Linked DNA regions of Canis lupus familiaris. The protein of the gene in region 3 interacts with the protein of the main gene of each other region in a biochemical or structural test. Links are inferred from orthologs where the notes say so. Each region holds a gene or a part of one and is shown on either strand. Other genes may lie near its edges.

Region 1 (4,295 bases), on a different chromosome or scaffold from region 3:
AAAAAAGAAAAAAAAGAGAAGACATTTGAGATTCAGATCCAGAAAGGAGTGAAAGGGTATTCCAGAAAAAAGAAACACAAGGTTCATGTAGGAGCTGTTAAGAGGACACTGTGACCTCATTTTATGCTGTGACCTAAACTGGGAATTTTAAGTTCTGGAGACTGTTGTTTGTTTGTTTTTTTAAGATTTTATTTATTTATTTATTCATGAGAGACACAGAGAGAGGCAGAGATGTAGGCAGAGGGAGAAGGAGGCTCCCTGCAAGGAGCCTGATGTGGGATGCGATCCCACATCCCAGAATCACCCCCTGAGCCAGAGGCAGATGCTCAACCACTGAGCCACTCAGGCGTCCCAGTTCTGGAGACTGTTAAAAGTTGTGCACAGGGTAGGAACAGTCTTAGAGTTGTAATTTAGAAAGCACACACTGTCAGATGTGTGCAATGTACTTAGAGCAGCAAGTCTATAGGGCACCAGTGAACAGGCTGTTCACAGGAATACAGATACAGATATGGAATACAGAGACAGAGATCATGATAGTAAGGAGAATAGAGGATACCCCTGGCCACGACTAGTGTTTAGAAGAATCTGGGCAAATGACTTGAAAGACTCAATCCAGAGAACTCCTGGCTTGGCACATTCTGCTCTCTCTGTCTTGCATGCTCTTCCCCTACTGGCCATTCAACATTCAGCTCAAGCCACCTCCTCTGGTAGGTGGAGGACTGAATCCCTTTACAGACTGGGCTGGAGCTCCTGGTTGGTTCCCTCTCACAGTGCTTGGAATTCCTTTGTCATTGTTCCTGCTTCCTCCCACTGGTCTGTGAATTCTGTGAGGTCAGGGCCCAAACCTTGATCACCTTTGCACCCACAGAGCAAATGTGGTGTCAGTAACTGCTGAGTCAATCAGTGCAAACAAAATACTTAAGCCAGTCTAGAGAGAAGATGGAGGAACCACCAGAAAAGGACCAAAGTCTCCAGGAGCTCAGGCCCTGAGGCCACATACATCTTTTGTAGTCCAACTGTGTCTCGGAGTTGCTGCCTAGAATTCCCGGGCCTTCCAGGAACTCGAACCCTGGAGCCGCGTGGCCAAAACCGCAAACACAAACCTCCGCCGACTCCTCGCTGAGCCCCTACCACCGGCCCTGGACTTGGCCCCTCCATCCCCTGCAGTCCCGATCCCCGCCAGGCGGCGACGCACACGGCGGCGCATGCGCAGTGCGCACCCGAGCTGTCCTTTGCCCTTCTCCCCATGGCGGGTTGCGGTCCCCTTCCCGGCATCCTCGCGGGGGCAAGGTGCGCGTCATTTCCGGTGGGGAAGGCCCGCGGCCGCCGCCGCCATTTCGGGCACTGCTGTGAAGCTGAGACCCGAGCCGGTCCGCTGGGCGGCGGGCGCCGGGGCAGGAGGGGCGCGCGTGCCGGCGGCGGCCCAGCGTGTAGGCGCGGAGGCGGCCATGGCGGGCAACTTCGACTCGGAGGAGCGGAGTAGCTGGTACTGGGGGCGGTTGAGCCGGCAGGAGGCGGTGGCGCTGTTGCAGGGCCAGCGGCACGGGGTGTTTCTGGTGCGGGACTCGAGCACCAGCCCCGGGGACTATGTGCTCAGCGTCTCGGAGAACTCGCGCGTCTCCCACTACATCATCAACAGCAGCGGCCCGCGCCCGTCTGTGCCACCGTCGCCCGCCCAGCCTCCGCCCGGTGAGGACGGACGGGACGGGACGGGAGGCCCCGGGCGGGGTGAGGGCCGCGGAACTCGCCAGCCTGACCGGCTGCCCCTCGCGAGCTAGCCTCCACGAGGGACGTGGGCAGAGGGCTGGAGCGACCCTGGCATGGGGGTACCTTGGTGCCCGGGCTCGTTCCCACCACTGGCGGTTGTGTGTGTGTGGAGGAGGAGCCGCTGACCCAGGCCTCTGGGTGTGACTTGGGAGGACAGCCCAGGGGAAGGGGAACTGCTTCGGCCCCAGGGTGGGGCTAGCGCCGGGGCCAGGCACTAGGGCAGGGCGGGCAACGTGGGGACAAAGAGCGGAGGGGGATATTGGCACTGCGGGGGCATCACTTGGCAGCGGTTCCCAGGATGAATTCGATAATCCTACAAGTGGCTTTTTAGGCTTGAAACATTTCCTGTACTGTTAGAGAGCCGGGTTTGGTTTGGAGAGCTATTCTCCCCTGCTGGCCTTTGATAGGAAGTCACCACATACTAGCCCGGAGGGATGGAGACACCCTCAGGAAACCGGTCAGCTTTTTCCTTTCTTGGGCATCTTTCCAAAATACTTTTACTGTCCTCTTCCCCCGCGGAGGACGAAGGTGGTGAGCTAAGTGCCTTGGTGACAGAAGTAAGCCCTCTGTGATCAGCCCAGAACAAGTTGATGTCCAGCTGACCGTGTCCAAGAGATCTTGGCGTCCAGAGACTCTTTTCCACAATTAGAGGGTTCTAGTTTTCAGGGTATTTTGTGGAGGACAGATTCTATGCCCCCACACCCCTCCCAGGAAATAAGCCAGTGGAAACAGTCCCTTCCTTGGAAGTGAATGGAACTTCCAATTTCATTGGACTTAAGCATTGTCAATGTCATATGTCAGGGCCTCTTGCTCAGTAAGTTGGGGCTGTGGCCCTTTTCTTTCTTAACCAAGGATCACTGAGATGTGACTGTCCTACTTACGCCTTTAGAGCTGTTTGGAGAATGTTAAGGAGGTTCATGCACTTAGTACTTGAGATTTGTGAAATACAGAGTAATTCTGAGGTTATTGTCAGATTACCATCATCTGTGTAACAGCACCAAGAGTTGTAGTCTTTCTCATTTTTCAAATTGAAGCAGTTTTCTTCTGACCAGCTGAGGCTAGCTCCAGGCCAGTCTCATAAGAATTAGGAGCCTCCTGAGCCAGCCTTTGCAAACTTGCCCTTTAGGGATAGTCCTAATTTAGATTCATTCACTCTGGCCAGAAATAGGGAGATGGGATAGTCAGTCTCTGTTGCTAACACGTATCAATTATAGGAAGAGTATGAGATCTTTAAATCCAGGAAGTATCCTAGGTCTTCTCAGTCTGCTTGGTTTAATTTTTATTTTAAGATTTTATTTATCTATCTATCATCTGTCTATCTATCTATCTATCTATCTATGAAAGACACAGGCAGAGGGAGAAGCAGACTTCTCGCTGGGAGCCCGATGCAGGACTCAATCCCCAGACCCAGGATCATGCCCTGAGGTGAAGGCAGTCACTCAACCGCTAAGCCACCCAGGCACGTCCCAGTCTGTTTGGTTTAATAGCATAACATGAGACAGGAATATTGATAGAACATAAATTTGCCCTAAACCCGATATGTTGTGCTTTTCCTTTTTTTTTTTTTTTTTTTTTAATTTTTATTTATTTATGATAGTCACAGAGAGAGAGAGAGAGAGAGGCAGAGACATAGGCAGAGGGAGAAGCAGGCTCCATGCACCGGGAGCCCGATGTGGGATTCGATCCCGGGTCTCCAGGATCGCGCCCTGGGCCAAAGGCAGGCGCCAAACCGCTGCGCCACCCAGGGATCCCTATGTTGTGCTTTTTCACCACCTTCTTGGTATCTAGGGTTGTGCATTACAGTGCAGTAATATGTCAAACTGTCACTGAAATTCAATTTTCAACCTCCTGCACCCCCAGTTTTCAACCTTTTATGTATGCGTTTTGCAAAATTTGGAGATGACAACAGGCAGGTTTGCTGGTTTGAGCTTTCTACACACCTTTGTGTTATGACTTTATATCTCTGCGCTTACCTTGATATTGAGCTCCACCTTTTCATAACAGATAGGAGTTCAAATCCTTGGCTCAAGAGAGAAGGTGAAGATTGCCAGAGTTTGTGGATGGGGTGTGGAAAGTTCACAGGCATTGTGTTAATTCTTGTTTCTGGTAATGTGCCCAGTTTTTCACATAGAGCAATTGATTGAGTTGCTGTCTTTATAAAGGTTACTTAGTCTTTGTTCTCCTTGCTTCCCCGTCAAGCTCTTTTCTTTTTGAAACTATACAGAGGAATTTCTTTAATTTTAGAAAAGCGTGTAGAGTATTAATAGCTAACATTTATTGACTGGTTATTCTGTGCCAAGTACTTTGCTGAGTACTTTCTGTGCCTTGTCTCATTTTCTGTCTATAACAATCTGGTGAGAAATACTGTAATCTCTATTTACTAAAATATTTTCATTTTATAGGTGAGGAAACAGAGAGATTCAGGAACTTGCCCAAGGTCACACAGCTGATAAATGACTGAGCCAGATTTTCAACTTCGGAATTCTGACTAGAGAGCTGACACTATTCTGTACTTCTTTCTCTTTCCT
Region 2 (3,673 bases), on a different chromosome or scaffold from region 3:
TGCTTGTCCACATAATCTAAGGATGCTTTTTTTCTGAGCCAAAGAATGAGGACCAAGCTGAGGAATTCTAAGTGGACACCCGGACAAAGATTACGGGTCTACCGCTAACCCTCTTTGATTTCTGTGAGCAGCACTCGATACTCTGAAGTTGAGTTAGGAAACCAACACAGGAACGGGCCCTTCTCTTGCCACAGCTCTGCTGCCTCTGTCAGTGGACCACAGGCAATTCTGGCACATTTCATGCTGTTTTCTGTAAGCCCAGCAGCAGTATACTTACCAGAAAAGACGCATGTTACAACCAAACTGAATCTCTGAAGGAAGATTTTTCCTTCCTCGTTGTTCTTTTGGATTGTGGAAAACCTGACCTTCTAAAAGATGTAGCAGGTTTTATTTGAAGTATAGATGACAGCACTCTAAAATTCTTAAGTTGACATCAAGTAAGGGCAAAAAGCCACTAAAAAAATTTTGGACAATTCATTTACCTGGGTAAGAATGTAACTCCTTTGGGCTTCTTCCATCTTTATCAAACTGGCGTTGATGTAGTCATTATCTTCTTGATGTAGTTTAATCCGACTATGGTCAACTGAAAGGCAAGTCAGAACTCGGAGGTTAGTCCTGGATGACCAAAGTGTCCACACAGGCAGTGCACCCCATGGGGAAAGCAAAAAAGGTGAGTCGGTGGCATTAAGGGCGTTTACATGTTTAATTGAGATTAGTCATCAATATAAGGATGACTTAGTATTTTCAGAAAAGTTTCTGGAAGTGTTTGAAACTTTTGCTAAAGAGCAACAGAGACAAATTACACTAAAACATGGGTTCTTTCCTAACTGGATAAGCTGTTTTTAGGTGCCACACTTATCACTGCCCCATAACTCAGGAGGCTGTGAGGAGGGGTTGTCAAGGGATCTGTTTTCAGATACCTAGTATATACTTTCATATAGTAAAAAAATACAGTGGCTTCAATCTTTAAAAGGGGGGGAAAATACACCAAAAATTTCACCCAGTCCTTAAAGCTCTAGTTGGTACAACGAACCACCATTGGTAGGATTTATGATCATCTCTCCATCTAACCTATGTCTAATGATTTGATGATGAAATGACCTAAGTAGATAGTGGTGTGGAAAGGGATACCTTGAATTCCTTTATGTCAGTTTTTTGGTTTCTTTTTAAGTTTTGAGTGTAAAACACTTAAATGATTCTATGAATTAAATTCAACTAGAATTGAATTCTAATATTTCGAATTCAGAAACTGTCATGATATAAGACATTTAAAAGATACTTAACTGGAAAAAATTAACTCTGAATCCAAAATACTGGAAGTACACTAAACGTAACTTTCAGAAGTTTTAAAAATATAACTCTCATTTGGAAGGTCTGCACCAGGTTACTGAAAAGCATAGCCACTTTTTTTTTTTCTTTTCACCATGACTTGGTCACAAAAGCAGTGGTTCCCTGGGGGCCACTTTCCTTACTCTGCTCATGTAGCAAACAAGAACAGGTGGGTATTTTTATTTCTGGTACAATGCAAGGAATGATGAACCCAGGTGACCATTCATAAATACTATCTTCTCTTCTTGAGCCCAATGGGAAAGAAGTTAAGGGGGACACATGGTTTGGGGCCTTTTGTTCTAAAGGATTCCAAGGAAATGTTTTTAAAAATTCGTCACCATTTGGAATAATGTTTCTCATCTCAGAGGATTAATACAAATTCAAATACTTGGGTAATATTTAAGTAGTAGACATTAAAGATCTCAAAAAAGATGATGAGACCATATAACCCGTTGATGGGTTACATGAATGGGTTCAAACAGCACCTGAACAGGGTTCAAGATGGGTGACCTTGGACAAGCAATTCTGAGCCCTGGGCTTCTCATTTGCCAAATGGAAGACAGACAACAAAATCACTTTCTACCTTCAATCATTCTCCCCATGTTCCCTGTGACCCTAAGAGCAAATTCTCTGTTGCTGGACAGTGGAGTTGGGGGAAAACAAGAGAAACAGAAGTGAGATTAGGGGTGAAAAAGTTTGGGAACTGTTTCCTGGAAGAGTATTTTAAATGCTTTATTTCCTCTGGAAAACTGGCTCATAAAAACATTTAGATGAGCACTGATGAAAACTGTAGAAAAGGATGTATTAAGACATTACTGACTAGTGCAGAGGAAGGATGGCAAGGGGGTCTCTCCTGGCTCTGCATGAAAGATGCCAACAGTGACTGTTCATTGAAGCTCAGAGTAGCTGGCCAGGACCTCACAACAGAATCACCTGAGGAAAGCTTTGTTTTATTGATAAAACCTACCAGGTGCCACAACCTAGACATGCTAAATCAAGTGTGCTGGGGTGCAATAATGTGCCACTTGATGGCCTAGCACTACACTTCAGATGTGTCTGGTGTACGCCTTTAGTTAACAGCCACTGTTGGTTAATCTCAACCACAGTGAATATTTATGAGCAAGATACTAAGCTAAGTGGCTTATGTTATTTTATTTCATCTTCACACAATCCTGAGATCTGCATGGCGACTCTCCTGCGGACAGCACCAAATGCTAGCACCCGCAGGAGTGGTGTGACTTAGGCATGCAGGAAGGGCCTGCGCAAGGGAGAACTGATGGAGACTTCTATGTTCCTGGCAGATGGAAGGCACTGCCACGGGAGATGCTGGCAGCTACAGTCCTCTCTGATGGACAGGGTCTAACATCCTGGGAGGTGATTTTTATTTTTTTAAAAGATTTTATTTATTTATTCATGGACACAGAGAGAGAGAGAGAGGCAGAGACACAGGCAGAGGAAGAAGCAGGCTCCATGCAGAAAGCCTGACGTGGGATTCAATCCCAGGTCTCCAGGATCACGCCCTGGGCTGAAGGCAGCATTAAACCGCTGAGCCACCCGGGCTGCCCCCTGGGAGGGGATTTAAAAGGTCCTCCGTGGCCTCGGTTCTCCATGGCCTAGAGGAGATGGCAAAGTTCATGCTCTTTACTTGGCTCCAGTTTTTCTTGCTTTACATAAATTCTAACATGTTTAGTTCTTGACTTTTGAGATTTCAGCAGATTCAGAGCCAATTACTCAAAAGGCAGAGGAGGCGGTCAGAGGCCAGAAGGCACAGTGAAAGATAACGGCAAGAAACAGCTAGAAGAATGAGGATGGCAGTGGAGGGTAGGGTGGGTGGGGGTGGAACAAGCAGAGCTGTCTTTAGTGTGTGTGTGTGGGGGGACACCACTCCTACTCTTTAATGGCTGTGCAGGGCATCATTACAGTTCAATACGATGCTCAGGGTCTAATAATACTGTTGCTGAGTCATCCAGAAAAGGTTATATTATGCCTACTATACTCTGCTTCAGCTGGTAGGAAAATGATTCATCATAAAAATAGTCAAAACTAAAAAAAGTGCTTTGAACTTAGCTGAATTTTCCAGAAACTGAAACCTCATTCCTTCTACAATCATGGAAAAAACGAACCATTCCTCTCCGTCTCTGATGCCTTTATTATAGGAAACCACCAAGTCATAAACCTGTACTGCTATCGATTTATTAGTAAAGCCCACGGGCTCAAGGGGTGCTGGCGGAGAAGGCTGCGGCTGAGCACCCGACAGAAACAGTGAGACTGGTAACGGTGATGTGAATACTTACAGGGACTGACATCTCTGTACCTGTTTCGGTTTTTGTTCTTAGGGAGCTTG
Region 3 (4,218 bases):
ACTCCATCCCAGCCAGCCTTATCAGCATTCTCCTAACACCCCCAGGAACAATTAGTAGCCAGGGTCTGGGCTCAAGTCCAAAGAGCAAAACCATGGGCAAGCCCCTATTCCAGAGCTGTCCCAGGGGGAGCATAGCTCCTGCCCTACCCATCTCAGAAGTGCTGGAGGCTCAGCGGACATGGCTGGGACTGTGCGCAGGTCTTCGGCCCTGTCTAACACTCATCACCTAAGCGGCAGGTCTGTTGAATGAAGGACTAAAAACCCACGTCTGTAATGGCCACTGCCAGCAGCTCCCTCACACAAACAGGAGCTGTGGCGTAGTCTCGTTTGCAGCGGCCACAGCAGTTGCTTCTGTGTCCCGGGCCAGCTTTGAGTCAGAAGCAAGACCTTGCTCCCACCCTTGCCAGGGCATCCCAGACACTGTCCCTGGGAGACTGGGCAGACATGGGCCCCTAGCACCCCACAGCTGGTGAGAACAAGCAACCCTCTAGAACTCTCACCATTGCCACCCAGCCCAGGGAACTGCCCCAGGCTGTTAGAACCCAGACCTGCACTTGATTACTCATTACTCTCCTTCTCTGTCCCTGGGGCCTTGTGGGGAGGACTCAGGATTCTTGAGTGGGCTGGGTGGTCTTTTGGAGGGGGCTCAACATCATGAGACTTCAGGGTAACACTTCAGGGGTAACCCAGCCCCAGATATGTCATCATGGAGGGAAAGAGGCGGGAGGAATGGCTCAAGGGGGGACAGGAGGGATCTCACTCCTAAGACCCCATTTTCTCCAACTCGATGTTCAAAGCCCCCTGCAGTTCTGCTACTCTCTAGTCCTAAATGATAACTTGCGGTAACCCTTATAGCAGCACCATCCACCTGAGCAGGAATGGAGGGGGACAAAAGGCACAATAGTGGGGTTCTCGCTCAGATAAAAGTATCAAACCCCTGATTTCTGGGATGCACTGTGGAGATGAGGGTCTGCAATGGGGCCCTGCCCCTCCACTGTTTGAACTCCTTCCACTCCAGGCCAGAACTTCACCCCTTAGAAGTGGAAGGGAATCAGGGCAGCAAGATAGCAGAGCCAGGGCCTCTCCAGCGCTAGAGGGCCCAGCCCCATACCCTCCCTTGAAGGGAGTCCACCCTTCAGCCCCTTATTTGGAGGGCCCAGAGAAAGAGGATCTTGGCCTGTGTCTTTGCTGGAGAACAATCCCTATTCCCCTGACCCTGCACCTTGTTCTCCAAGTATGACTCCAACACTGTCCCTCACCCCTCTAGAAGCCTCCTGGGGAGCACACCTGGCCTCTGTTTCTGGCTGCTCCCACTGGCTGTGGGCTCCTGGGAGGTAGGGGAGGGAGTTTTCAGGCCCAAGAGAAAAGGGTGGTAGGAACACCTAGACAACGGATGCCAGAAGGACCCCACCAAGATGGTGGCCAGTAGAGCATGGCAGCACCCTAAGGACCAGAGCACCCCCAATCCAAGGGAGGGGGCGGTAGAGCACATGTGAGGCAGAGCATGGGGCCATACCGGGAGACCAAGTTCTTTTTTTTTTTTTTAATTTTTATTTATTTATGATAGTCACAGAGAGAGAGAGGCAGAGACACAGGCAGAGGGAGAAACAGGCTCCATGCACCGGGAGCCCGACGTGGGATTCGATCCCGGGTCTCCAGGATCGCGCCCTGGGCCAAAGGCAGGCGCCAAACCGCTGCGCCACCCAGGGATCCCCGGGAGACCAAGTTCTAAATCCAATCTGTGCCTCAGTCAGTCTCCCCATCTGTATAACAAGGAGAGCAGCTGTCTTGGGCTTTTCCCACTAGGGATGCCCTAGTGGCGCTGACCTTGCTTCAATCCCCTGTTTAGGCCCAAGGAAACGGTCCTAGCAGCCCACAGCACTCGCACTCTGGCTCAGCACAAACTGTAATGGCCAGAGGCTCCAGCTCCCCTCCTAGAACCAAGGGTAACTGTCCCAGCAGAACCTGGGGCTGCCCGGCCTCCACCAGTTCCCACAGAGTTCCTTCCTTGCCCAGAGCGAGCGGGTAGTGGGTGCTGCTGCCAGGACGGCATGCCAGCAGCAACTCCCAGCACCCAGCACACACCTGTTCTTCTAAGCCCATCATCCCTGCCACCCCAGAACCCCACATCGTCAGCTCTCCACCTGGGAAAGGAAATGGACACAGGAGGATGGGTCTCCGGGCCCAGAAGGATGAGGAACATGTCCCAGCCTGGCTGAAATCTGCAGAGAAGTCACAGCAAACCAGAATAGTGCCTCCCAGCCTAGACCCTCATGGTAGGGGTAAGGAAAAAAGAAACTCCATGTCCTCAAGACTGACCAATGAGCCGCTACCCCCAGTCTGGGATCCAAGACCCCAAAATCTCCCCGGGCACTAACTTCCACGGACCACAAGCATCCCAGCCCTCAGCAAACCTCAACTTCTCCAACTCCTTCAGTACTGCTCTGGGCTGTGCCTCAGGCAGCAGCGAGGGGCTGGGAGCTCTGGGGGACACCCAAATGGCAGCCTCGCTTCCCCTCCAGCTCCATGCACCGGGCCCTCCGACGCTGGGCCCCGGGGTCACCATGCCACACTGCACACCCGCCGCCAGGATCCCGCTCCTACCTCAGTATTTGCAACCACGGTAGGTGAAGGTGAAGTGCCTGCCCCCAGGCCTGGAATCCGGCAGGGACAGGCCGGAGGGTGAATCATTAACAGACCCAGGACTGGCTGTCGGCCAGCACCAACACCTCCTCGGTCACCACACACTTGCTCGCTCAACCGCGGGCCTGGGGGCGGGGAGGGGGCAGCTCCCCACTCCAGAACACACCGACGGACAGGGATGGACCGCCACCCCATTTCCTGGAAATCCACGCCTCCTGGAAGTTCGTGGTCCAAGGAAATCTCGGACCTGTCCCCGTGGCCGAGGAAACTGAGGCGGGAGGCGGGTGTCGCAGGCCCAAGGTCACCCGGCAGGCGGTGGCCGGCAGGGGGAGAGCGGGACGCCCGCCAGCAACTTTCCCGGATCCAGGAACTCTCCTGCCGGCCAGCGGCCCCGAGTCCCGCCCTCCCCACCGCCCCGTGGGCGCACGGCCCCGGGATCCTCGCAGCCCTGCCTCCGGGCGCCCCGCCACGCGGGAGAGGGCTCCAGGGCCTCGGAGCCCCGCCTGGCCGGCCCCGCCGAGGCCGCAGCGGCCAGCGGTTCCCAGGACCCGCAGGTCCGGCAGGAAATGCCACTCACTGGACTCCTCGCTGGGGACCGCCCCGGGCGCAGGCAGGGCGGGCGCCGGGGGGCCGGTCGGCGGCGCGCGGACTCCGCTGCGGCCCCGGCCGCGTCGGCCGCACTCACCAGGTAGTTCATCGTGTCCGGCGGCCGGGCCCCGCCTCCCGCAGGGGCGCACACCGAGCTGCGGGCGCCCGGGAAGGCCGCGGGCGGCTGCGGCGGCGGCTGCGGGGCGGCCCCGGGCTGGTCGGACGGTCCGGTCACCACGCTTGCCGCCGCCGCCGCCGCCCGGAGAAGCGCGGCCCCCTCGCCCCGCCCCTGGGCTCGCCCCGCCCCGCCCCGCCCCTCCGCCCCGCCGCCCGCCCCGCCGCCCCAGCCGGCTCCCAGCCCTGCTCCCAGCCCGGCTCCCAGCATGCCCGGCCGCGCGCGCCCATTGGCCACCGCGGCTCCCCATGCAAATGAGCCGCCGGTCGGCTCCGGGGACGCGGGCGCGCGCCACCCAACGGGACCGCTCCCAACGCCCCGCACCCGCACCCGCACCCGCTCCTTCGAGGCTAGCACGGGGATGTCACCTTTTCTCCAAATGCACATTCTCCGCCCGCCATCCAGGGCAGGAACGTGTCCCTCCTCAAGGACTAAGCCAAGGCCCCCTCCTCTGGGAAGACTGTGGGGATAACCTCCCCCATTTAGCACCCCAAAAGCTAGCCTCAAGTCAGCCGACTTCTGCCTTCACCACCCACCAGACCCCGGCGTTACGCAAGTCTCCGTCGGGCCACCCGACTCCGATCTGAATCTAGAAGTACCAGGGAAGGGGCATACCCCAGCTGGCAGAAAACTAATAATGTCCACCTCACCCTCTCTGTCAGGCCTACCCTGTAAGAGCCCCAGGAAAGGAAGACTCAAGGCAGGGAGACGGAGAACTCCCAACGGGTCCCCTAATTCAAGAGGCACAGAGCCACAGGGCTTATCCCGTTCCACCAGATGTGCCTGAGGCTCCGGTATACCCCGTAGTCAAG
Region 4 (4,338 bases), on a different chromosome or scaffold from region 3:
TGGTTCTAAACATTCATCTGGGAGGAGGGGGCTAGCACGCATGTTCCCTATTTTCGACCCATTCCCTGCCCAAGCTTATCTGATAAATTTCTTGGGTGTGGGTAGGAGGGATCCAGAGAAGTCCAGGGATCCAATCATTCTGTCCTGCCACGTTACCACTACGTTCCTTAGTGAGGGGCAATCCATCTAAGGGCTGTACTGAAAGCAGGAAGGTCTGAGTTCTAGTGTTGGCTCTGCTAAGGGTACGCTGGGGGCAGGGGTGGGCCCAGGCAAACCACTTTCTTCGCAAAAATGGTGAATTAGATTAGGACAGATTCTCTCTAATTGCCAGAAGACTTGCAAAGACGCACACAAATTCATCAAGTCCATTCTATGGAGAAAAAAGCCTGTTAATCATTTCTGTCCGGAGGGCTGCGAATCTGAGCTCCAAAGCACAAAGTGCGTCTCATTCAGCCAACACAGGCGTGGCAGGTGTTCGGGTGCGCTCCGGGTCTCAGGGCTCACCCGCCAGGGCTGAATCTGCAGACGGATCTGCAGAAGGCCTTTCATTCAAGGAATATTTGGCTTGTCCCGGCCGCAGCCACTGCCCGAGGCGGCAAGGTCAGGCGCCGTCAGCATCCCGGGCCCGCAGCGGGACCCAGACCCACCCGCCCCGACGCGGGGGGACGCGACTACGGTTCCCGGCATGCCTCTGCGTCCCGCCCCCCCCCCCCCCCGACTCCCGCGGGCCGGGCCTTGTGGCCGCAGGGCGGCGCGGAAACACTCGCAAAGTGCGCCTTTCCCACCAGCGGGCCGTGAGCCCGCAAGTTCCAGCGGAAGTCTTCCTGGACCGACCAGGGTTTCCTGGGCTCGGAGGCGCACCCCGTCCTGCGGGACGCCCCACCCCCGGGCGCTCCAGGCGGCCCCGGCCGGACCACGCCCCGGAAGTGGCTCCCGCGGCCCCGCAGGCCGCCGCGGGCCTCGCAGCCACTGCGAGAGGGTCTGGGCGCGGCGGGGCGGGCCCGGGGGCGGGGCCCGCGGGCGGGGGCGGGGCCTGGCCGGGCGTCTCGGCGCCTGGGGCGGGGCCACGGCTCGGGGGCGCGCGTCTGGGTGGCGGCGGGGCCGCGCCCGTGGGGAGAGGCGGCGGCGGCGGCGGCGGCGGCGGCGGCGGGCAGTGGGGAGGGGGTGGGGAGGAGGGACCGGGCCGGGGGGCAGGGCCAGGGAGAGCCGAGCTCCTGAGGCGGCGGCGGCGTCTCCAACGGGGGAGGAGGAGGGCGGGGACGAGGATGGAGCGGGCGGGGGGTTGGGGCTGGCGCTAGCCGCAGCGGCTCGCCTCGGACCGGGGGAGCGCGGCGGCTGCTCCTCGAGTTGCGGCGTCGGGCGCCGGGCCGGTGGTGCCGCCGCTGCCGCCGCCCCGGGCGGTGGGGGGAGCGGGGCGCGGGAGGCCGGGCGGCGCGCTGGGGAAGGCTGAGCGGGCGCTGCGCCGGGCGGGCGGGCGGCGGCGGCGGGCGCGCGGGAGGATGGAGCAAGTGGAGATCCTGAGGCGGTTCATCCAGAGGGTCCAGGCCATGAAGAGCCCGGACCACAACGGGGAGGACAACTTCGCCCGGGACTTCATGGTGAGTCGCGCCCCGCGCCGCCCGTTCCCGCCGGCGCTTTGTGCGCGGCCGTGAGCTGAGCAGCGGGGCGGACGGCCCGGGCCGCCTCCTCCGCCGCCGCCGCCGCCGCCGCCGCCGCCCTCGGCCTCCCTCCGCCGCCGCCCGGCCGAGCCCGCCCCGCGCGCCGCCGCCCGCGACCACCTATTGTCTGCGGGCCGGGAGCGTGCAGCCTGCCCCGCCCGGCGGGGTCTCCCGGGGGGTCTCCCCGCGGGGTCTGCGCGCGGGGTCGGGGCGAGGTGACCCGGGGAGCGCGGCGGGGCGGAGGGACGGGGGCGCCAGGTCAGCCCCGGCCCGGGGCCGCCCTGCCCCGCCGGCCGCGGAGGTGGGCACGGGGCGCTTGGCCGCCGCGACCCCCGAGGACCCCCGAGGACCCCCGAGGACCCCCGAGGCTGGGCCGGGGTCGGCCGCGGGCCCCGACACCCAGGTTTGCGGTGGCGCCGGGGTCCCCGCGACGTTAGGTCGGAGGGCCCGGGTGTGCGCGGCGCTGCGGCTCCCGCTCCCGCTCCCGCAGGAAGCCCCCGCCGACCCCTGGGGGTGTCGTCGGAGGCGGAGGGGATGTGACCATCACTTCCTATCCGGGGTGGGGGCGGGGAACTCGGGAACAATAGTCCTGGTGGGGCGGAGGCTCCGAAGCGGCCGGAGCGCTGCACCGGGAGATAACCTTCCCTGCCCCCCCTTCCGCCCTCGGCTCGGCGCACGGGCTGCGGGAGGTGCGAGGTCCTGCTCCCGAAGTCGCCCGAGGCACAGCCCCTAGGAGGGGGTCAGGGCCAGAGGCGTGGGACCAGAAGTCCGCTTCCTACATCGCCCCCCCTCCCCTCCACCTTTTATTTTTCTGCTGGACAATGTTCCCTTTAGGGTTGTTTCTCGGCTCAGGAGGCGGTGGTTGCGGCGGCTGCTCCTACGGATGTTGCGCAAGACCGGGGCGTTGGAAACTCTGGAGGTCTGGGGAATGGAAAAGGAAGTGGGACTTGGGGAAGTGGCTGCTCCTTGGCCGCGGCGGGGTTCGGGAATGGGAAATAGGCTCGGGAGAGGTTGGTCCCGGGCAAGGTACCCCCCGCAGAATGATCCCTTAACCCCGGAATTCTCCATTGTGAAAAGGACACACGGCTAAGTCCATAAAAATGAATGGGCAGCACACATTGTCTAGGGTTTTTGTTTGTTTGTTTGTTTCAAAGTGCAGTTTGATTGTTTACAAGGTGCCGCTGAAATGACTTTTAGCCCTGAAAATGCTTTTTCACATTTTAAAGAGACTCGGTTATCTACAGTTTTAGGCATTAAAATTGCTAACAGCTTGTACAATAGATCGTTGACCTTATACAGCAGTGTAATAGTATTGTTGAGCTTCGTGATTCCCGCCTTCCTAGACCGGTGAAAGAGGATGGGAGTGAGATTTTGTTAGTATCTTTCGAAGATGGAAAAATGTAGGTAAAATAATCTGTGTCCTGTTTTGGACATTTTCTGTGGATATTTAGCCTATGTGTTTTTGATCCGAGGAAAATAAAGAGGGTATTTTCTCTTCTTACTAGTGAGAATTGGGTCGTGCCACTCAGAAGTAATTGGAGGGAGTCCCCTTTTTCCTTTTTTTGGCCAATAGAAAATATTTACTTTTAGGGCATTTTAGAAGTTTAAAACCAGGCTTTTGCAGTCTTATTTTCGTTATGGAAGAAGAGGTGGTGTGGTCCTTGGTCACTGTGAGTTTGCATGCTAGTCATCTTGTTATCCCTGGGCATATCCTGTCAGGAAAGAGCATTGTTTGGTGATGAAGGCCGTCAGGACAGGTGCCCAGTCTCTGAACTTATGTGCAGGGGAAGTAGCCTTGGGGTTCGTGCTTTGCGGATGAGTCAGGGATCCTATTGGAGATTTCATTTCTGAAGGACTGAGTTTCTTTTATCTTCCATAATACCTAGGGATAGATAGGTGATTCTACGCTGGAGATTTGATGACTAAGGCTATTCTTTTATAGGGCTTGCTTTTTTTATTCCATGACTTGATAAGCAATAGCTATAATTAAGCCTGCTAGATAGATGGTGCTGCTTTTTCCCTTGACTGGAAGGCTAGAGGGAGACCATGTCCCCTGTGCCGTGGAGAGAGAATAGAAGATAAGCTAATAATTTCAAGTGTTCTGTTACTCTTAAATTCTTATGTGGATCAAAAATGCATTATTAAATTGTAGCATTTTAGAACTGAGCCTTAGAAATAATCTATTATAATACTATTCAGTTATAAAGTACTAGTTTTTTTAATTTCAAATTTGGAGATTATAGAATAATAATTAATAATGCCTTACTCTTAGGAATGTGGGGTGGATTATGTTCTTCCCTTTGTTGTATCCAGCCTTCCTAGTCCTGTCACCCAAAGGCCGTCTCTGTTAATGTTCTTAATGCATCTGTTTGACGGTGCTGTTTATTTCATTTTATATTGTTGGTTTTTTTTCCCAACTTATCATTTTGATAAGTACTTTTCATTTGTAAAAATCCAGTAGCTATTTAATATTTCAGTGGCTATATGATATTTTACTTGGCAACTATTTTATAGCTTAACCATTTCCTTGTGATTGAATATTTGGCCATTTATTTTCTATTATGAACATTTATGGGTAAAACTTCCTTATTTTGGATTGTTGCATAAGATATCTTCCAGTAGTGGAAGTACTAGGTAAAAGGATATTTATTTATTTATTTATTTATTTATTTATTTATGA
Region 5 (4,196 bases), on a different chromosome or scaffold from region 3:
TATATCAGAATATACCATGCTCCACGTCAACTCCAATTACCAGCATCTTTGGGGACCTGGAGATTTCACCAATCAGATTCTTGGTGCTTAGGCCTTTGTTATAACACTATTTGATTTATAATCACTTTCTCCCAGTTTTTAAAGTCCATTTAGTTCAGCAGTTAATCTTATAGTCATTATACTGTCATGGCTTTGTTTCTTCTCTCTTACTCCACAGAAGCAACACTTAGGCATCCAGTGGGTGCTCCTTAATTATTATAGCTTTTAATGGTTAAAGCTCAGTGCAACATCTTATCAGCAAATCTATAAAATCAGAAACAGGTCATTCCAAAAAAAAAAAAAAAATCTATATCGGCAGCCTATTCCTTTTTTAAAAAAAAATTTTTTTTTTAAATTTTTATTTATTTATGATAGTCACACAGAGAGAAAGAGAGAGAGGCAGAGACACAGGCAGAGGGAGAAGCAGGCTCCACGCACCAGGAGCCCGATGTGGGATTCGATCCCGGGTCTCCAGGATCGCGCCCTGGGCCAAAGGCAGGCGCCAAACCGCTGCGCCACCCAGGGATCCCGGCAGCCTATTCCTTTTAAACATAAGTTCAAGAACCAAAATGGACAGCAAAATACTTTTTATTTAAAAAAAAATTCCAAGCAATTTCTTCAGTTCAAATTTGACATAATTTAAATAAAAGAAACGTGAAAAAATACTAAAGACAAATTAAAGCAAGTAATCAAATAAAATAATGCATTTACTTAGAAAAGAGAATGCTGCTTGCTTTAAATTATTAAACTTACAAATGTACAAAAGGTATACCTAAAATTAAACTAGGACAGAATTAAAGTATCGCTCAAAAATTTCCTTAGTAATTTACATCCTAGCTTCATTCTTCTTTAGAATATAATCAAATACATTTCTGGCCTATTAATGGTCCACCCTGGGGATAAACTATAAAATAAAAACTCAAAAAATGCGTCCTCGGGGATCCCTGGGTGGCGCAGCGGTTTGGCACCTGCCTTTGGCCCAGGGCGTGATCCTGGAGACCCGGGATCGAATCCCACGTCGGGCTCCCGCTGCATGGAGCCTGCTTCTACCTCTGCCTATGTCTCTGCCTCTCTCTCTCTCTGTGACTATCATAAATAAATAAAAATTAAAAAAAAAAAATGCGTCCTCGCTAAAGCCAATGCATCATCTTCTTAAAATTTCTGTTAGTTGGGATGCCTGAGTGGCTCAGCGCTTGAGCGCCTGCCTTTGGCTGAGGGTGTGATCCCGGGTTCCCGGGTTTGAGTCCCACATTAGGCTCCTTGCATGGAGCCTGCTTCTCCCTCTGCCTGTGTCTCTGCCTCTCTCTTTCTGTGTCTCTCATGAATAAGTAAATAAAATCTTTAATAAAATAAAATAAAATGTGTTAGTTATAAAACAAAAGGTGTCTAGGTAATTCAAATTTAGCACCAAGGTATCCTACATAGTTCCGCCACTTCACTGTGAAAGGTTTTGTTCCTAAACGCTCAAGCATTTTCATTTGTCGATTATTCCAAAGGCTGCAGTCCAAGAGTTCTTAAACTGGAGCAGGGAGCCCAAGAACCTTGAACGGTGTGCAAAGTTGTGTGTACGTGCATTTTTACGGAGGGAGAACGCCACAGCTGCCCTGAGATTCTCAAAAAAAAAAACAAAACAAAACAAAAAAGGCTTAAAAACAACAAAAACGTCTCGATTAGGATAACCCAATAGATAATGTGACGAACGGCACAAAGCGGGCATTTTAACCAGGCAACCGCCGTTACACAGGTTTAAAACCCATCCCCTCATCCAACAACCCAGACCCTGGCACTAGCCTTCCGATCAGAATGCCTTCTGGAAAACAATTTGGTTCAGAATGGGGTGAAAGGAGTTCAATCCCGCTCCCCCCACCCCCTACCCGGCGGTCGATCCCCCGCGAACCAGCCCCTGCTGTTCTCGACCCTCCGCCGCGGTCCGAGGGGGGCTGTGCGCGCGGGGAGTGCGGGCGCTCGCGTACCTGGGCGCGGGCTCGATTAGGGTGGTGGTGTCCAGGTAGTGGATCTTGTAGAACTCCAGCAGGGCCGGCAAGTGGTCAAACTCCTGGTCCCCGATCTTAAAACGGCGGTTGGGCAGCGAGTTGATGATGTAGTGGGAGACCCGCGAGTTCTCGGACACCGACAGCACATAATCCCCAGGGCAGGTGGAGGAATCGCGAACTAGGAACATTCCGTGGCGCTGGCCCTGCAGCCGGGTCTGCGCCTCCTGGCGAGACACCGGCCCCATGTACCAGGCGGAGCGGTCTGAGGAGTCGAACCTGGCGGAGGACATGGTGTCTGGCCGGGGCTCTGCGGCGACTCGGGGCGGCGGCTGCTCTCGGCTGTTCTGGACGCCTTCGCCCGACAGACGGCTCTGCGGCCAAGGAAGGGCCTCTTGGCACACCTCGAGGCGCGCTTAGAGGGCCGAGCCAGCACCTTCGTCTCGGCTCCGGGCCCGCAGCATCCTCTGCCGCCGCCCGCCTGCTCCGGGGCCGCCTCACGGACGGAGCCGGCCCGGGGAATGCAGGGCACAGCCCGAGGTCGGGGCGGGCGAAGCTGAGCCGCAGCGGAGGCCGCCCCGGGGTTCTGGGGCTGCCCGGCGTACCGGGGGTGCCTCCAGCCACTCCTGGCCCGGAACGCGCGACTCCGCGCCCCCCACGGCTCTGCACTGATACCCGCCGCCACGCGAAGCACCGGACTCCCAGGAGCGTCGCGCCTCCGGGGCGGTTTCGCCCAGCCCGTTCCCAAGAGCCACAGCAACAAAATGGCGGACGCGGGACAAGCGGCCGGCCACCTCCCCCTCCGCTCAGCGCGCTCGGTCTGCGCACGCGCGAGCTCTGGCTCTCAGCTGCCGCCCAGGCCCGCCCCGTGACGTCGCGCGGCGCGGCCAATCAGGAGCGCGGTCGTGACGGTCGGGGCGTGCGCCGCGCTCCGCCGCTCCCGCGTTCCGGGAGGAGGCGGAGGCGGCCGGGGAAGCGGGGGAGGCGAGGAGGTAGAGGCGGCGGAGGAGGAGGTGGCGGTAACGGCCACTCCCTTCCTGGGCTGCGGTGCGCCGCCGGGGGCGCTGCCGCTGCGGGCTCCCCCCCAGCTCCGGCTGGAAAACAGCTGGAGTCGAGAGGGAGCGGCGTTTCGAAAACCTGCTCCGCGAACAAAGCAGAACGTGCATGCAGAACCTCTGGCCGTGGAGGCGTGGCACTGAGGTGACCTGGCTGGCCCAGGGGCCCCGGGGGACCCGCGCTGAGGGAGACCCGCGGGCGGACACGCCTCGGTGGGTCGAGGTGGCTCTGGAAGGACGCGACCGCGGGGGCTGACGTGACCAAAGCCGAGGTGGCCTGATAGGCTCAGGGACCCAGAGTGGCCGGGAAACTCGACAGCCGCAAAAAGGGGTTGCGAAGGTCGGAGCGACAGGATTGAGTGGCCCGAGGAAGTCCACCTTTTGGTGCAATCTGGCCATCATTAGCGTTTAACTGATGAAATGCGGACTCCCCCGGGTGTGGCCCGAAGATCTCGTCCGGCTCCAGTTCTGCAGCTTCTCGAGCTAATCTCCTCGCATGCCCGCCCCCTGGCTGACCTGCTTCGGCCGGTCGTGGTGGCCTGTTTCTCCACCCTGCCTCCCCTCCCCGCGATGAAATTTTAAGAGATCAGGGATCTTGTCTGTCTTGCTCGCTTCTGGGCCTAGCACAAGGTCTGGACCTGACCTGATGCTCAAATATTTGTTGAATGAATTGACTTTTGAAAAAAAAAAAAAAATCCTCAGGCTATTGGTGCCCGATTATTGGTAGCACCACCCCTAGAACTGGACAAACGAGAAAGCCTGTAAAGAAAGGGAGACGCCGGCTATAACAAACCTATACAGATCCCTTTGTCAGTGGAGTTTCATTTCGGCGCTTGCAGCCCTCAGGTTGAACATACACCTAATTCTAGGGTGATGGGTGATATCCAGCTTAGGGTAAGCTAAAGGGGAAATGTCAAGGGTTAGTGCCTTTTGTGACTCAGCATAAGCAGGTTTTCAATCCCCTCCACCCCAATATTGTCATGTATTATTCTCAGGTTGAAACTGACTGGACTCAAATTCTGCTCCCAGTTGACTAGCTAGGGTGACCTTGGGCCATGGCTCATATATTAAACAAGCTAATAGTGCCTGACACGTATTAAACCTCATGTAA

What was found.
Region 1: the proteins of BCAR1 (region 3) and CRK form a complex in vitro, tested with the Homo sapiens proteins (2 studies listed by BioGRID, with this or other methods). The link is inferred for Canis lupus familiaris from reciprocal best matches to the Homo sapiens genes BCAR1 and CRK.
Region 2: the proteins of BCAR1 (region 3) and PTPN1 form a complex in vitro, tested with the Homo sapiens proteins (3 studies listed by BioGRID and IntAct, with this or other methods). The link is inferred for Canis lupus familiaris from reciprocal best matches to the Homo sapiens genes BCAR1 and PTPN1.
Region 4: the proteins of BCAR1 (region 3) and PTPN12 form a complex in vitro, tested with the Homo sapiens proteins (3 studies listed by BioGRID and IntAct, with this or other methods). The link is inferred for Canis lupus familiaris from reciprocal best matches to the Homo sapiens genes BCAR1 and PTPN12.
Region 5: the proteins of BCAR1 (region 3) and CRKL interact in a test that uses a peptide from one of them, tested with the Homo sapiens proteins (2 studies listed by BioGRID, with this or other methods). The link is inferred for Canis lupus familiaris from reciprocal best matches to the Homo sapiens genes BCAR1 and CRKL.

The regions. Positions count from the first base shown.
Region 1 is NC_049230.1:45,570,684-45,574,978, reverse strand, and holds the start of CRK (adapter molecule crk), read left to right. Parts: upstream 1-1,341; 5' UTR 1,342-1,448; coding exon 1,449-1,689; intron 1,690-4,295. UniProt on the Homo sapiens protein: Involved in cell branching and adhesion mediated by BCAR1-CRK-RAPGEF1 signaling and activation of RAP1.
Region 2 is NC_049245.1:37,605,384-37,609,056, reverse strand, and holds part of PTPN1 (tyrosine-protein phosphatase non-receptor type 1), read right to left. Parts: coding exon 3,624-3,673; intron 584-3,623; coding exon 483-583; intron 1-482. UniProt on the Homo sapiens protein: Tyrosine-protein phosphatase which acts as a regulator of endoplasmic reticulum unfolded protein response. Mediates dephosphorylation of EIF2AK3/PERK; inactivating the protein kinase activity of EIF2AK3/PERK.
Region 3 is NC_049226.1:76,051,574-76,055,791, reverse strand, and holds the start of BCAR1 (breast cancer anti-estrogen resistance protein 1), read right to left. Parts: upstream 2,894-4,218; 5' UTR 2,839-2,893; coding exon 2,605-2,838; intron 1-2,604. UniProt on the Homo sapiens protein: Docking protein which plays a central coordinating role for tyrosine kinase-based signaling related to cell adhesion. Implicated in induction of cell migration and cell branching. Involved in the BCAR3-mediated inhibition of TGFB signaling.
Region 4 is NC_049239.1:17,884,997-17,889,334, forward strand, and holds the start of PTPN12 (tyrosine-protein phosphatase non-receptor type 12), read left to right. Parts: upstream 1-1,439; 5' UTR 1,440-1,499; coding exon 1,500-1,598; intron 1,599-2,492; exon of another isoform or gene 2,493-2,541; coding exon of another isoform or gene 2,542-2,577; intron 2,578-4,338. UniProt on the Homo sapiens protein: Dephosphorylates a range of proteins, and thereby regulates cellular signaling cascades. Dephosphorylates cellular tyrosine kinases, such as ERBB2 and PTK2B/PYK2, and thereby regulates signaling via ERBB2 and PTK2B/PYK2.
Region 5 is NC_049247.1:30,746,979-30,751,174, forward strand, and holds the start of CRKL (crk-like protein), read right to left. Parts: upstream 2,857-4,196; 5' UTR 2,324-2,856; coding exon 2,013-2,323; intron 1-2,012. UniProt on the Homo sapiens protein: May mediate the transduction of intracellular signals.